Linked DNA regions of Sus scrofa. The protein of the gene in region 1 binds, or shares a complex with, the protein of each later gene. Links are inferred from orthologs where the notes say so. Each region holds a gene or a part of one and is shown in the gene's direction. Other genes may lie near its edges.

Region 1 (4,143 bases):
TGAACATCAATTTAAAAAACATACTGAGAAGTTCCTGTTGTGGCTCAGTGGTAAGGAACCTGACAGGATACGAATTTGATCCCCGGCCTCACTCAGTGGGTTAAGGATCCGATGTGGCCATGAGCTATGGTGTAGGCCTCAAACATGGCTCTGATCTGGTGTTGCTGTGGCTATGGTGTAGGCTGGCAGCTGAAGCTCTGACTCAACCCCTAGCCTGGTAACTTCCATGTGCCACGGGGTGCGACACTAAAAAAAAAAAAAAAAAAATTGAAAAGTAGGAATGGATATATATATATGAAGTAGACCACCCAGGAATTAAGCTGATTTGTGGGGTTCCTGGCCCCCAGTTCTCTGCCAACCCTCTCCCCTGTTTTGCACCAGGCCCCTCCCTGTGGTCTTCCCAGATTGTACATGACCGAGGCCCAGACCCTGAACAGCCAGGCCCAAGGGACTGCAGGACAAGAACCTGTACTCCCTGTGTTCCTGCTCTTTGGCCCTTTGTCCCAGTTCGACCCAGGACTAATATTTACCTTTCATACTGCAAACAGGAAGTGGGGGAGAGATGGGAGCAGAGCTGGGCAAGGAGTAGTGTGGGACCAGTAGCCACTCCAGGTCTGGCCCCAGGCAGACAGTCATATACCTACTCCGGGGCAGGCCGCAAGTCCTGGGAGAGAAAGCAGACCAGAAGCCAGAGAGGCCCTGGGCCTGGCTCCTCCTCTTAGGCAACCAGCACTCACAAACATGCCTCCAGGGCTTCCAGACGAGGAAGAGGGGAAATGGGACCCTCATCAGGGCGGAGAGGCTGGGGCCAAGGTCCAGCCCAGTGTGACCTGGGACAAGGTAGCAGCTCTCAGCTGGCTGCTCCCTTGCCTCTGTTTTCTCACATCTGTGCGTGGTGATGACACATACCTCCTCGCTGGTTTACATCCATGTAGATGATTATTAAGCTCTTGCTATGTATTTATAATCTCCTTTAGTCCTCACAATAAGATACTCATCCCATTTTACAGATGAGGAAACCGAGGCCCACAGGGATCAAAGCAACCACCACCTGTGCATGTGTTAGGATTGGAAGGAGACTTGGGAAGAGCTCGTGACCCCACTGGCCTAGGTTGGCCCGTGCCTCCGGGAGGGAGGGGCTGGACAATGGTGGTTACGTTGATCTTTGCTACACGACTCCGTCCCAGACCATCCATCCCTGGTCCCAGGAGGACCTGTCCTCCCAGGTGGCGGGAGTGAACTATCTATCCACTTGTCCCCATGGCCCTGACCCGCTGACCTCTGTCTCCCAGCTGATTTCTTCATGTTAGTTCAACATTAACCCAGAGGGGTCAGGAAAAGCCCTCAGAGTCCTGGGAGCCGACACACTATGGCGCACGTCGGAGGCCTGTGGCTTCCTGGCTGCTTGGCCCTGGCTGTCCTCGTTAGCCTTGTGCACAGCCAGCATGGTAAGGGGGGCCTGGAAGCTGGGACAGACCGGCAGACTGGGATGTGGGCCAGGGGGCTGGGGTCTCCTGGCTCGACAAAGAACACGGCGCCGGCCCCCAGCCGGGTCTCAGCTCACGGTGTCCAGCTGAGGGAAGGAGCCGGGTGCTCAGGGCTGGACAGACAGGGACTGCTTCTCCTCTTGCAATACCGGGAGAGGGCTGGGGCTGACCTGTGAAAGGAGGGGTGCTAGTGGGCTGCTGTTAGCAGCCTCTGGGGGGCAGCCGCCATCCCAGAATCTCCCTTTTGGAAGCCAGCAGGCAGGCCAGGCTTGCTTCCTGCCCCCATGGTGGCCAAGACAACCTGGCTCCCAGAGGCCACTGTCCCACGCCCCTCCTCCCGCAGTGTTCATGGCCCCTCAGCAAGCACTGTCGCTGCTCCAGCGGGCCCGACGCGCTAACAGCGGCTTCTTCGAGGAGATGCGGAAGGGCAACCTGGAGCGAGAGTGCGTGGAGGAGCAGTGCAGCCGCGAGGAGGCCTACGAGGCCCTGGAGTCTCCCAGTGAAACGGTGAGCTCCCCCGAGAGGGAGACCCCAGCTGCAAGAGCACAAAGGAGGGGGGTGCGGAACCTGGCAGCTCTTATCTTCATCTCTGGGCCCTGTTTCACTGGGCTGCCATGATGAGCAGCTCAGCCTCTGGGAGGCCCTGTCACTTGGGCTGTGTCAGGGTCCTGGGGTCTGGTGAGGCTTCAGCATGTCAGGGGTCCTCCCCGGTCTTCAAACATCTGTCTATGTTGGGGTCACTAGAGCCCCCAGTCCTGGACACGTAGCCTATCAACTTTAGTGTTTGTTTTGTTTTGTTTTTGTTTTTGTCTTTTTGTCTTTTCTAGGGCCGCTCCCGTGGCATATGGAGGTTCCTAGGCCAGGGGTCGAATTGGAGCTGTAGCCCCCGGCCTACACCTGAGCCACAGCACCGCGAGATCCAAGCCGAATCTGCAACCTACACCACAGCTCACGGCAACGCCAGATCCTTAACCCACTGAGCAAGGCCAGGGATTGAACCTGCAACCTCATGGTTCCTAGTCGGATTCATTAACCACTGAGCCACGACGGGAACTCCAGCTTTAGTTTTGCTGTGACTTGTGTGCCCCCTTGGGAGGTGGGTGTCTGGTCAGGCCCAGAGACCAGCTTCCCCTTCCCGGAGGCTCTGCCTGGGCCCCTCTCCTCCAGTCCACCCCCACCAGGAGATTCCCTTTCAGCCTTGGCCAACAGAAGATGGGGGGCTCCTCTCTCCTCAAATACTTGGGTTTTTGGGAAAAAAATTAGGAAACTCTGCCACAACCTCCCCAGAGCCAGCCCTGCGTGACCAGGGTAAGGGAAAGAGGATGGTCTAAGAAGGCAGAAAGTTTACTAAAAAAACAAAGCAGGATCCTGCCACAGCCTCACTCTCAGCCCTTGTTTTTCAGGATGCATTCTGGGCCAAGTACACAGGTGAGCACTGGGAAGGGTTTGCTCCAAGAAGGGAGTCTGGGGACCCCAGAGAGAGAATGCTCCGTCCCTGAGACCCTTCTGGTCCATCCAGGCATCCCTGCCTCCACCCAGGTCTCTCCCTTCTATCTATCTGCCCATCTCTGTTTCTGAATGTCATCCCATCTACCCTTCGCTTGAACCCATCCTGTCTCTGCCTTGATCTCAGTGGTTTTTCTGGGTCTTTTCCAGCTTGTGAGTCAGTGAGGAAATCTCGAGAAAAGCTGGTTGAATGTCTGGAAGGTAAGGAACTGACATGGGGGTTGGGGGGACAGGATATGAGGGGATAGCCTTGGAAAAGAGCACAGTAGGGGTGGGTGAGGAGTTGTGGCCCAAGGGTGGTGGCCTCTGGCATCTGACATTGCCATTCTGGTCCTGAGGTCCAGGATATATCTTTGCACCTGGCTCTGTGCCTGACAGGAAGATGATTAATGTTGGAGAAACTAATTAATGAATGGGTAATGAATGATGATTTTAAGGCTTCACTCTCATCCAAACCCTACATATGCCAGGCAGTCTTCCCCGTGTGCCCGAGGCAGAGCTCCAGTGATGTCACATTCATTCTCCAAAGCCTTGAGGGGCTCCCCACTGCCCCCAGAACAGAGCACAGGCTTCTTACTTCTTAGCCTGGTGAATTTAGCAGGTTCTGGCCTTTACCTTCCCTTTTAGCTTTAGCTCCCATTGCACTAACTCTGCACCCAGACCCCCAGCTTGCTGACAGCAAGCACTTCTCTAAACAGGCCTAGATGTTTCTATCTCCTGGCCCCTGCTTACATTGTCATCTTCCCCTGGCGTAATCATCATTGCCCTGCTGAAAACCTCCCTATCCTTCGAGAGCTAGTTCAAATGCCACCACCTTGCTGAGCCTTCAAGGTGCATCCGCCCTCTTCCACAGCATCCTGGACACACCTTTAGTATAACATTAGGCCCCACTAGTGGAACTCCGTGAATCACTGGCCATACTTTCATTTGTTATATAAGTTATTCAGTAGACATTTAACTAAGCCCCTGCTGTGTATCAAGGACTAAGGCGAGTGTTGGGGATTTTAAAAGAATCAGGGAGACGGCAGTTTCATAGGAAAATAAAAATACAAAACATCAAAGTAATTGATGGGAAAGTTCTGATCCAGGGGACGAGAGCATTCTAGGAGAGGGAGCGTTTTATTTGCGGGCCGAGTCAAGGACAGCTCTC
Region 2 (3,425 bases), on another chromosome or scaffold:
ATTCACCAGAACCAAAATGGTTTGGGACTGGCACCCCCAGTGCACCCTCCTGGATCAAGGCTGGGGCGGTGTCTGCCAGGATATATGTAAGTATGGGGTCTACCTCTTACTCTGTCTGGTTCTCCCTCCAGCTCTGCCAAAATGCAGCGCTCACCACACCCCCTCATGCTATTTCTTCTCCTGGCATCCGTGTGTGGCAAGCATGGCCTGGTGGGCCAGCCCGTTGATGGTGGGGAGGACCCCAAGTCTGCAGACCCCCGGTGGGGGCAAATGAAGAGCAGAAACCAAAGCAGGCCCCTCCTCCCCACTGACTTCCACAAGGACACAGTCACCAATGAGTGGATTGCAGATGGAGAGGAGGACGAGGACTACCTGGACCTGGAGAAGATCTTTGGGGATGATGACGACTACATTGACATCGTGGATGCAGTCTCGCCTGCAGACCCCATGGCCAGTGCAGGGAATGTGCTCCAGCTCTTCCCAGGCAAGAGCCGCATCCAGAGACTGAACATTCTCAATGCCAAGTTCGCCTTCAACCTCTACCGGGCACTGAAGGAGCAGGCCAGTGCCTCAGACAACATCTTCCTGGCGCCTGTGGGCATCTCCACGGCCATGGGCATGCTCTGCCTGGGCCTGCGCGGGGAGACCCACAAGCAAGTGCATGCGGCCCTGCACTTCACGGACTTTGTCAATGCCAGCAGCAAGTATGAGCTGGGCACTATCCACAACCTCTTCCGGAAGCTGACCCACCGCCTCTTCCGGAGGGACTTCGGGTACACGCTGCGGGCTGTCAACGACCTTTACGTCCAGAGGCAGTTCCCCATTCTGGATGACTTCAGAACCAAGGTCAGACAGTACTACTTTGCCGAGGTCCAGGCGGCCGACTTTGCAGACCCTGCCTTCCTATCGGAGACTAACCACCACGTTGCAAGACTCACCAAGGGCCTCATAAAGGACACTCTGCAGGACATAGACCCTGCGACTCAGATGATGATCCTGAACTGCATCTACTTTAAAGGTAAGAAATAGCCCCACGCTTCCCAAAGCAGACTCAGATGTGCCTTTTTTTTTTTTTTTTTTTTTCTTTTTCTTTTAGGGCCAAGTCCATGGCATATGGAAGTTTCCCAGGCTAGGGGTCAAATCGGAGGTACAGCTGTCAGCCTAAACCACAGCCACAGCAGTGCAGGATCCAAGCCACATCTGTGACCTATACTGAAGCTCATGGCAATGCCAGATCCTCAACCTACTGAAGGCAGGGATCAAACCTGCGTCCTCATGGATACTAGTTGGGTTTGGTACCACTAAGCCACAATGGAACATGTGGACATGCTCTCTTAGCATGCGGGTGGGTGGGCAAAAACCACGTCTGACCTCGATGTGCCCAGGAGACTCAGGTGCAGGCTCAGCTCTGGGAATGGGGAGGATCTGAGGAGGTAACAGAGCAGCTAACACTTAAAGGGCCTCCATTTTACAGACAGTGAGGAAAACGCTGCCCCAAAAGATGGTTGGTCAGGGGCAGAGCCAAGCTCTCCTAGTAGGCCATCCCTAGTGCTCTGTTAAACCAGAATCATACAAAAACCTTCTCCATATCTGGCCAGGCTGGATCTGAGTTCTTCATCAGTGAGTATGAGTGTGGACAAAGGTGGGTTCAGCTGGCATCGCTGACATTAACACTAGAGCTTCTTTTTGGGAGGGTGGGGGCGGGTATCAACTCTTAGGTCTAGAGCAACTGCTCTGGGCCAGGCATCAAGGCCCTGCTTCAGGAGGACACCCCAACCCCCCACTTGAGCACATACTCACACACACAGGGCCCTGGGATCCCAGAAATAATCACCAAGGCCTCACTTTTAAAATGCCCAGGAGGGGAGTTCCTGTCCTGGCTCAGAGAAGACAAATCAAGTGAATGAAAACTTTTAATTCTAAGTGTTACAACCACTTTGTAAAGCATGGCGAAAACAGGTCAGGCCTCAACAGAGCTGGTTGGGGGAGGGATCCACCCTCAGGGCAGACAGCACAACCTGGGGGTGCTGCTCAACACCCACCATCACCACAGAGCAGCCCCTCCTCAGGGCGGGCCCAGATCAGAGGCAGGCCGCCCGTGGCTCAGCCTCCCCCAGGGAGTCTCCGGCTCCTTGATGGTTAGTGTCAGTAAAGAACCCAGCCTTCATTCCTGTTTATCACTCCCTCTGTCATCCTCACGCCTCCCACAGGAAGCTTCTAAAACAGTGGTTCTCAAAGTGGGGTCCCTGGACCAGCAGCATCAGTGTCACCTGGGAACTGCTTAGAAACCAAAACTCCTGGCCCCAGCCAGACTGTGGGTTCAGATGTGTGTGGGGGGCACGGAGTCTGCCTGAACCCTCTGAGAGCACTTTAATCACAGCCCGATTCCTGTCTCCCTCGCAGGGTCTTGGGTGAATAAATTCCCAGTGGAAATGACCCACAACCACAACTTCAGGCTGAATGAGCGAGAGGTGGTCAAGGTCCCCATGATGCAGACCAAAGGGGCCTTCCTGGCAGCAAGTGACCAGGAGCTGGACTGTGAGATCCTGCAGCTGGATTATGTGGGGGGCGTCAGCATGCTGGTCGTGGTCCCGCACAAGCTGTCTGGGATGAAGACCCTGGAGGCGCAGCTGACACCCCAGGTGGTGGAGAAATGGCAGAAGAGCATGACAAATAGGTACCTCTGGGGGCTGGGGCCAAGGATATCACTGTAGAGAAAGGGACAGTGTGCATGAACACCCAGCCCCACCCCTGAGCTGAGGTTAACTCAATCAAACCTCTCACTAGGCAAGAGGTGATCAGAGTACATTTGTGAGAAAGGTGTCTGCTCTCTGTGAGGATGGCATCGCCCTCGGAGCCCTGCTGCACTTCCCTGACCCCCAATATCGCTCAGCGGGTGAGAGGTAGGAAAGATGCACATGTCACCCTCTGTCCTCCAGATCCTGGCTGGGCCTATGTTCAGGAGTGAACCTGGCTGGGCCTCCCCCCAGGACAAGAATACAAAGAAATGCACTCAAGGCAGAAGCAGGCTCTTGCAGGCACCTTAGCCCACATAGCCAGGTGGTCAACGAACCCTGTTGTTTCTTCCCTAAAAACATCCCCTCCTGTAAGTTCCCACTATGGCGCAGTGGGTTAGGAATCCAACTGCAGCAGCTTGGGCCACTGCAGAGGTGTGGGTTAGATCCCTGCCCCTGTGCAGTGGGTTAAAGATATGGTGTTGCTGCAGCTACAGTGTAGATCACAACTGTGGCTCAGATATAGTCCCTGGCCTGGAAACTTCCATATGCCTTTACTCTGGCTATTTAAAAAAAAAAAAAAAAAAAAAAAAAAGTTCCTCTTGTACCTGCCTCCTTCCTAACTTCACTGCCCACAACCTTGGCCCCAAGCAGGGGGGCCCGACCAACTGGCTGTCCCACTACTCGGCC
Region 3 (3,500 bases), on another chromosome or scaffold:
ACGGTTGTGACAATGACACCAACTCCACATTGCTGCGGAAGAGTGTAAGTGAGCTAATTCAGCTAAACAGGTTAAGACCCACTAGTGGCCACTGAGGAAGGGGAAGCCCATGGTACTCCTTGGAGCCTCAGAAGGGAGCCAAGAGGCAGCATGTACACCAGTCAGGGGAATCTGGATTTTAATCCTGGTTCCGTCACTCACTGGCTGGGACAAGCTATTCCAATTTTGGAAGCCTTGCTTTATCTGGCTGTAAAGTGGGTAACGATGGGATGCAGTGATATTTATAGAGTGTCTGATTGGTCCTTGATAAACGGTGGCTTCAATAAGAGAGAAGAGGGACTAAACGGAGGAAGATTTCTGGGTCCCAAACCTGCAGCCCAGGGGAGCCAGGGGGAAGCCAAGGCCCTGCTCTCAAGGGGGACTCATGGGGCAGAAGCAGCTCTGGCCCAACAGGTCACCAGTGTTTTTGGGGGGCAGGCAGTGGTGGGGCCATAGCGCCAAACAGACCTCTGTGTTTTTTGTTTTTGTTTTTGTTTTTTTTTTAATGAAGAAACTGCGGCCCAAGAGGGGAAGGGCCAGGCTCAAGGTCAGCAGGCCGGCTGCAGGGCTGGGGCATGGGAGGCCTGGTCTCTCATTCCTGCACCCCGGCCAGGTGTCCCTGGGCTCCATCCAAGCAGGAAACTCCTCCGTGGTCTGTAGCTATTCTTTGAAAGCGTTTCTTTGAGGGTCATTATCAGCTCAGTGCTCATCTGTGTGTGGGGTGGGGGTGGCGGTTTGAATTGCTTCTTCAGCAGCATCTGTGATGGCAATGGTTTTAGCTGCGTAGGAGGGACCTCAGCAAAGGACACAGAGATCTCAGCACCCAGAAGGCAACTCTTAGGGTGGGAACCAAAAAGGAGTATCAGCGTGGGAGACCCAGGCATGTTTCTTAATTCTCTGCAGAGCGGGGGCTGTCTGTGGTCACACTGAGGGGCAGAAGACCAAATCTGGAGACTGTGACACAGGGGAGGGCCAGGGACGTGGGGGAAGCTGAAAGGTATGGCAATTTAGAGCATGACCTGTGAGGGTCAGAACTGGGTCTGAGCCCAAGCTCTGCCACTGTTTGTAAATGCTGAGCCTCAGTTGACGCATCTGTGAAAGGGAGCCAGGAGCAGAGCCCGCCTCCGTGGGTGGGCATGAGGCCAAAGAAACTGATGTGTCCAGAGTGCCAGCGACGTACCTGAGCCTCCCACTGGCACAGGGACTGCTGGGCCACTGTATTTGGTTCAGGGTAGCTGCGGGTTCTGCAGACAGAACCTTCCAGATGAACTTCCTCTGTGACTCAGGTGCAATTTGGAGGTCAGGGGTGTGAACGTGACTCCTTGAGTCACTGAGTTTCATTCCAACAAAAGATGGGACTGCAGGCCAGCTCTGCTGACTCCCAAGTTCACCGGTCTCCCCAGCAAGCCATGTCCAAGGCCACTGTTTGGGGCCCTTGGAGTTGGGTTTTGCATCATTCGTGTGACTCTGTGGCAGTGCCAGGGGACCTGATGACTTGGTGTCTAAAGCAGGAGAATACCCACCCGGAGGGGGTTCCCGCCCAACGGGAGCTCTCCTCAGGGGTCAGGCAGGTCAGCTTGGGGTCATGTGAGAACATGTCCCCTGCATGCAGAGAAGGAAGGGGGGATCTCGGCAGGTGGGGGGCTTTGGCCAGTCCCTGCCACACGGCTCACACTCACACAGCTGTGCTGGTCGCTGCTCCAAGCACGTGACATATGTTGACTCATTAAAGCCCCCCAGCCATGCCTGGTGCAGATTTTGTCATTACCTCCAGGTGGGTGACAGTGGCTAGGGATGTGACTTGCCCCAAAACACTTTTGGAAAAAGTTTCAGGGCTGAGACTTGAACACAGGCTGCTGGGCTGCAGAGTCTGGATCGTTCACAGTGGGTAGACGGTGGGCACAGGGAGGGTTTCTGAATGGAGGGTTTTAGGGAGTTGGGTATGAGAGAGGGTGAGGCTGGAATGATGGAAGACCTCCTCGGGGCAAGGGAGAGGCAGAGACAGAGAAAGAGAGAGAGAGAGGGAGAGAAAGAGACAGAGAGACAGAGACAGAGACAGAGAGAGGAACAGACAGATAAAGACAGAGCAACAGAGACAGAGAGATAGGAGATAGACAGAGACAGACAGAGACAGAGACAGAGAGGAGACTATAGAGAGACAAAAGCCCAGGGCCTCTTCATCAGGGATGCAAAGAAGAAGAGATGCCTGGGGGCTCAAACAACATGCATTCATTGTCTCACAGTCCTGGAGGCTGGAAGTCCAAGATCAAGGGCAGGCAGGGCTAGTTGCTCTTGAGGCCTTTCTCCTTGGCTTGTCCCTGATTGTCTCTCATTGCTCCCTCTTCCCTGTGTCCTCATAGCCCTCACGTGGTCGCCCCTTGGTCTGTATGTCTGTGTCCTAATCTTCTCCTCTCATAAGGACACCAGTCTCATGGGATCTGGACCTGCCTATGATGTCATTTTAATTTTAATCACATCTTGACAGACCCTGTCTCTAAACACAGTCACATTCTGAGGACGTGATGTTATGACTTCACCATATGAATCTGGGGGCATGATTCAGCCCATCACGGAAGAGGAAGGAAGTCTTGCTCATGTTAGAGGGCACAGTGCCCTCAAGAGAGAAGGGTGCTTCTGATGAAGGACAAGGGTGGCCTTGGGGGTCCCAGAGCAGCCCTGGGGAAGGAGAGGGGGGACCAGTGACACTGTGTGTTCAGTGACGAACCACTGCAGCCTGGCACCCTGCCCACCAATGAGTACATGCAGAGAGTGACAAGAACAAAGCCAGCAGTACAGCAGGAACCACTGAATGGAGTTTGAGCTCATAGACGGACACCAGGTCTTGCAAATGTCACACCCCAGGACCAGGTGGCGGTTAGAGGTCATGTATAGAAACAGTGCTAGTTCCTGGCTACCACAGAGATGCTGACCAGCCAGAACATGGGAGAAGAAGCCTCTGCACCAGGTCCCATCGCCCCACATTCCATCACCTGGTACCTTGATGTGGATGAAAGGAGGCTCCTTGCTCTGGTGGCCAGTCCCCACCTAGGGTCCCGCTCCTCTGCCTGTCCTTCCTCTTGCTACCATTAGAGGTCCCCACCCCAGGTCTCTGTCCTCCAGCCCCTGCTGGGCTCCCTAAACCCTGACTCCCAGCCTCTCGGGTTCATCATCTCCCTTCGGGCTGCTTGTTGGCAGTGCCATCTTCTGGAATGTCAGCTTTGCATGTTTCTTCCCGTCTTGTCTCTGAGGATTCACTGGCCGCCCACCCCCTCTGAGGGCATCTTCTACTCTTCCTTTCAGAGTGACGGGCGGCCACAATGCGGCTCTGCCTCCTCCTGTGCCTGGTGCTTCTCAGCCCGCGGGGGGCCTCCCTTGGCCGCCACCACTCCCGGGAGACCAAGAAGAGAGTCCTGAAGTTGCCTCCTGCAGTCGCCACGGTGGCCCCTGGCATCAGGGACTTT

The links.
Region 2: the proteins of F2 (region 1) and SERPIND1 are in contact, whole or in part, in a crystal structure (PDB 1JMO), measured with the Homo sapiens proteins. The link is inferred for Sus scrofa from reciprocal best matches to the Homo sapiens genes F2 and SERPIND1. Residues at the interface, in NP_000497.1 of Homo sapiens: Lys384, Ser385, Pro386, Gln387, Leu389, Leu390, Cys391, His406, Cys407, Tyr410, Pro412, Trp413, Asp414, Lys415, Leu423, Arg425, Ser430, Thr432, Arg433, Tyr434, Lys440, Ile441, Ser442, Met443, Asn458, Leu459, Lys470, Trp511, Ala513, Asn514; in NP_000176.2 of Homo sapiens: Glu75, Asp76, Asp77, Asp78, Tyr79, Leu80, Leu82, Ile85, Phe86, Asp89, Asp91, Val305, Glu306, Met307, Thr308, His309, Gln327, Asp343, His361, Lys362, Arg388, Thr457, Val458, Gly459, Phe460, Met461, Pro462, Leu463, Ser464, Thr465.
Region 3: the proteins of F2 (region 1) and SERPINA5 are in contact, whole or in part, in a crystal structure (PDB 3B9F), measured with the Homo sapiens proteins. The link is inferred for Sus scrofa from reciprocal best matches to the Homo sapiens genes F2 and SERPINA5. Residues at the interface, in NP_000497.1 of Homo sapiens: Arg383, Pro386, Glu388, Leu389, Leu390, Cys391, His406, Cys407, Tyr410, Pro412, Trp413, Asp414, Lys415, Trp455, Glu457, Asn458, Leu459, Asn506, Arg541, Ile542, Asp562, Ala563, Cys564, Glu565, Gly566, Asp567, Val588, Ser589, Trp590, Gly591; in NP_000615.3 of Homo sapiens: Gln241, Lys295, Lys296, Arg297, Thr368, Ile369, Phe370, Thr371, Phe372, Arg373, Ser374, Ala375, Arg376, Leu377, Asn378.

Annotation. Positions count from the first base shown.
Region 1 is NC_010444.4:15,816,342-15,820,484, reverse strand, and holds the start of F2 (prothrombin), read left to right. Parts: upstream 1-1,333; 5' UTR 1,334-1,369; coding exon 1,370-1,448; intron 1,449-1,830; coding exon 1,831-1,994; intron 1,995-2,890; coding exon 2,891-2,915; intron 2,916-3,143; coding exon 3,144-3,194; intron 3,195-4,143. UniProt on the Homo sapiens protein: Thrombin, which cleaves bonds after Arg and Lys, converts fibrinogen to fibrin and activates factors V, VII, VIII, XIII, and, in complex with thrombomodulin, protein C. Functions in blood homeostasis, inflammation and wound healing.
Region 2 is NC_010456.5:50,430,121-50,433,545, forward strand, and holds part of SERPIND1 (heparin cofactor 2), read left to right. Parts: intron 1-131; 5' UTR 132-141; coding exon 142-1,018; intron 1,019-2,403; coding exon 2,404-2,677; intron 2,678-3,425. UniProt on the Homo sapiens protein: Thrombin inhibitor activated by the glycosaminoglycans, heparin or dermatan sulfate. In the presence of the latter, HC-II becomes the predominant thrombin inhibitor in place of antithrombin III (AT-III).
Region 3 is NC_010449.5:115,802,414-115,805,913, forward strand, and holds part of SERPINA5 (plasma serine protease inhibitor), read left to right. Parts: intron 1-3,339; 5' UTR 3,340-3,356; coding exon 3,357-3,500. UniProt on the Homo sapiens protein: Heparin-dependent serine protease inhibitor acting in body fluids and secretions. Inactivates serine proteases by binding irreversibly to their serine activation site. Involved in the regulation of intravascular and extravascular proteolytic activities.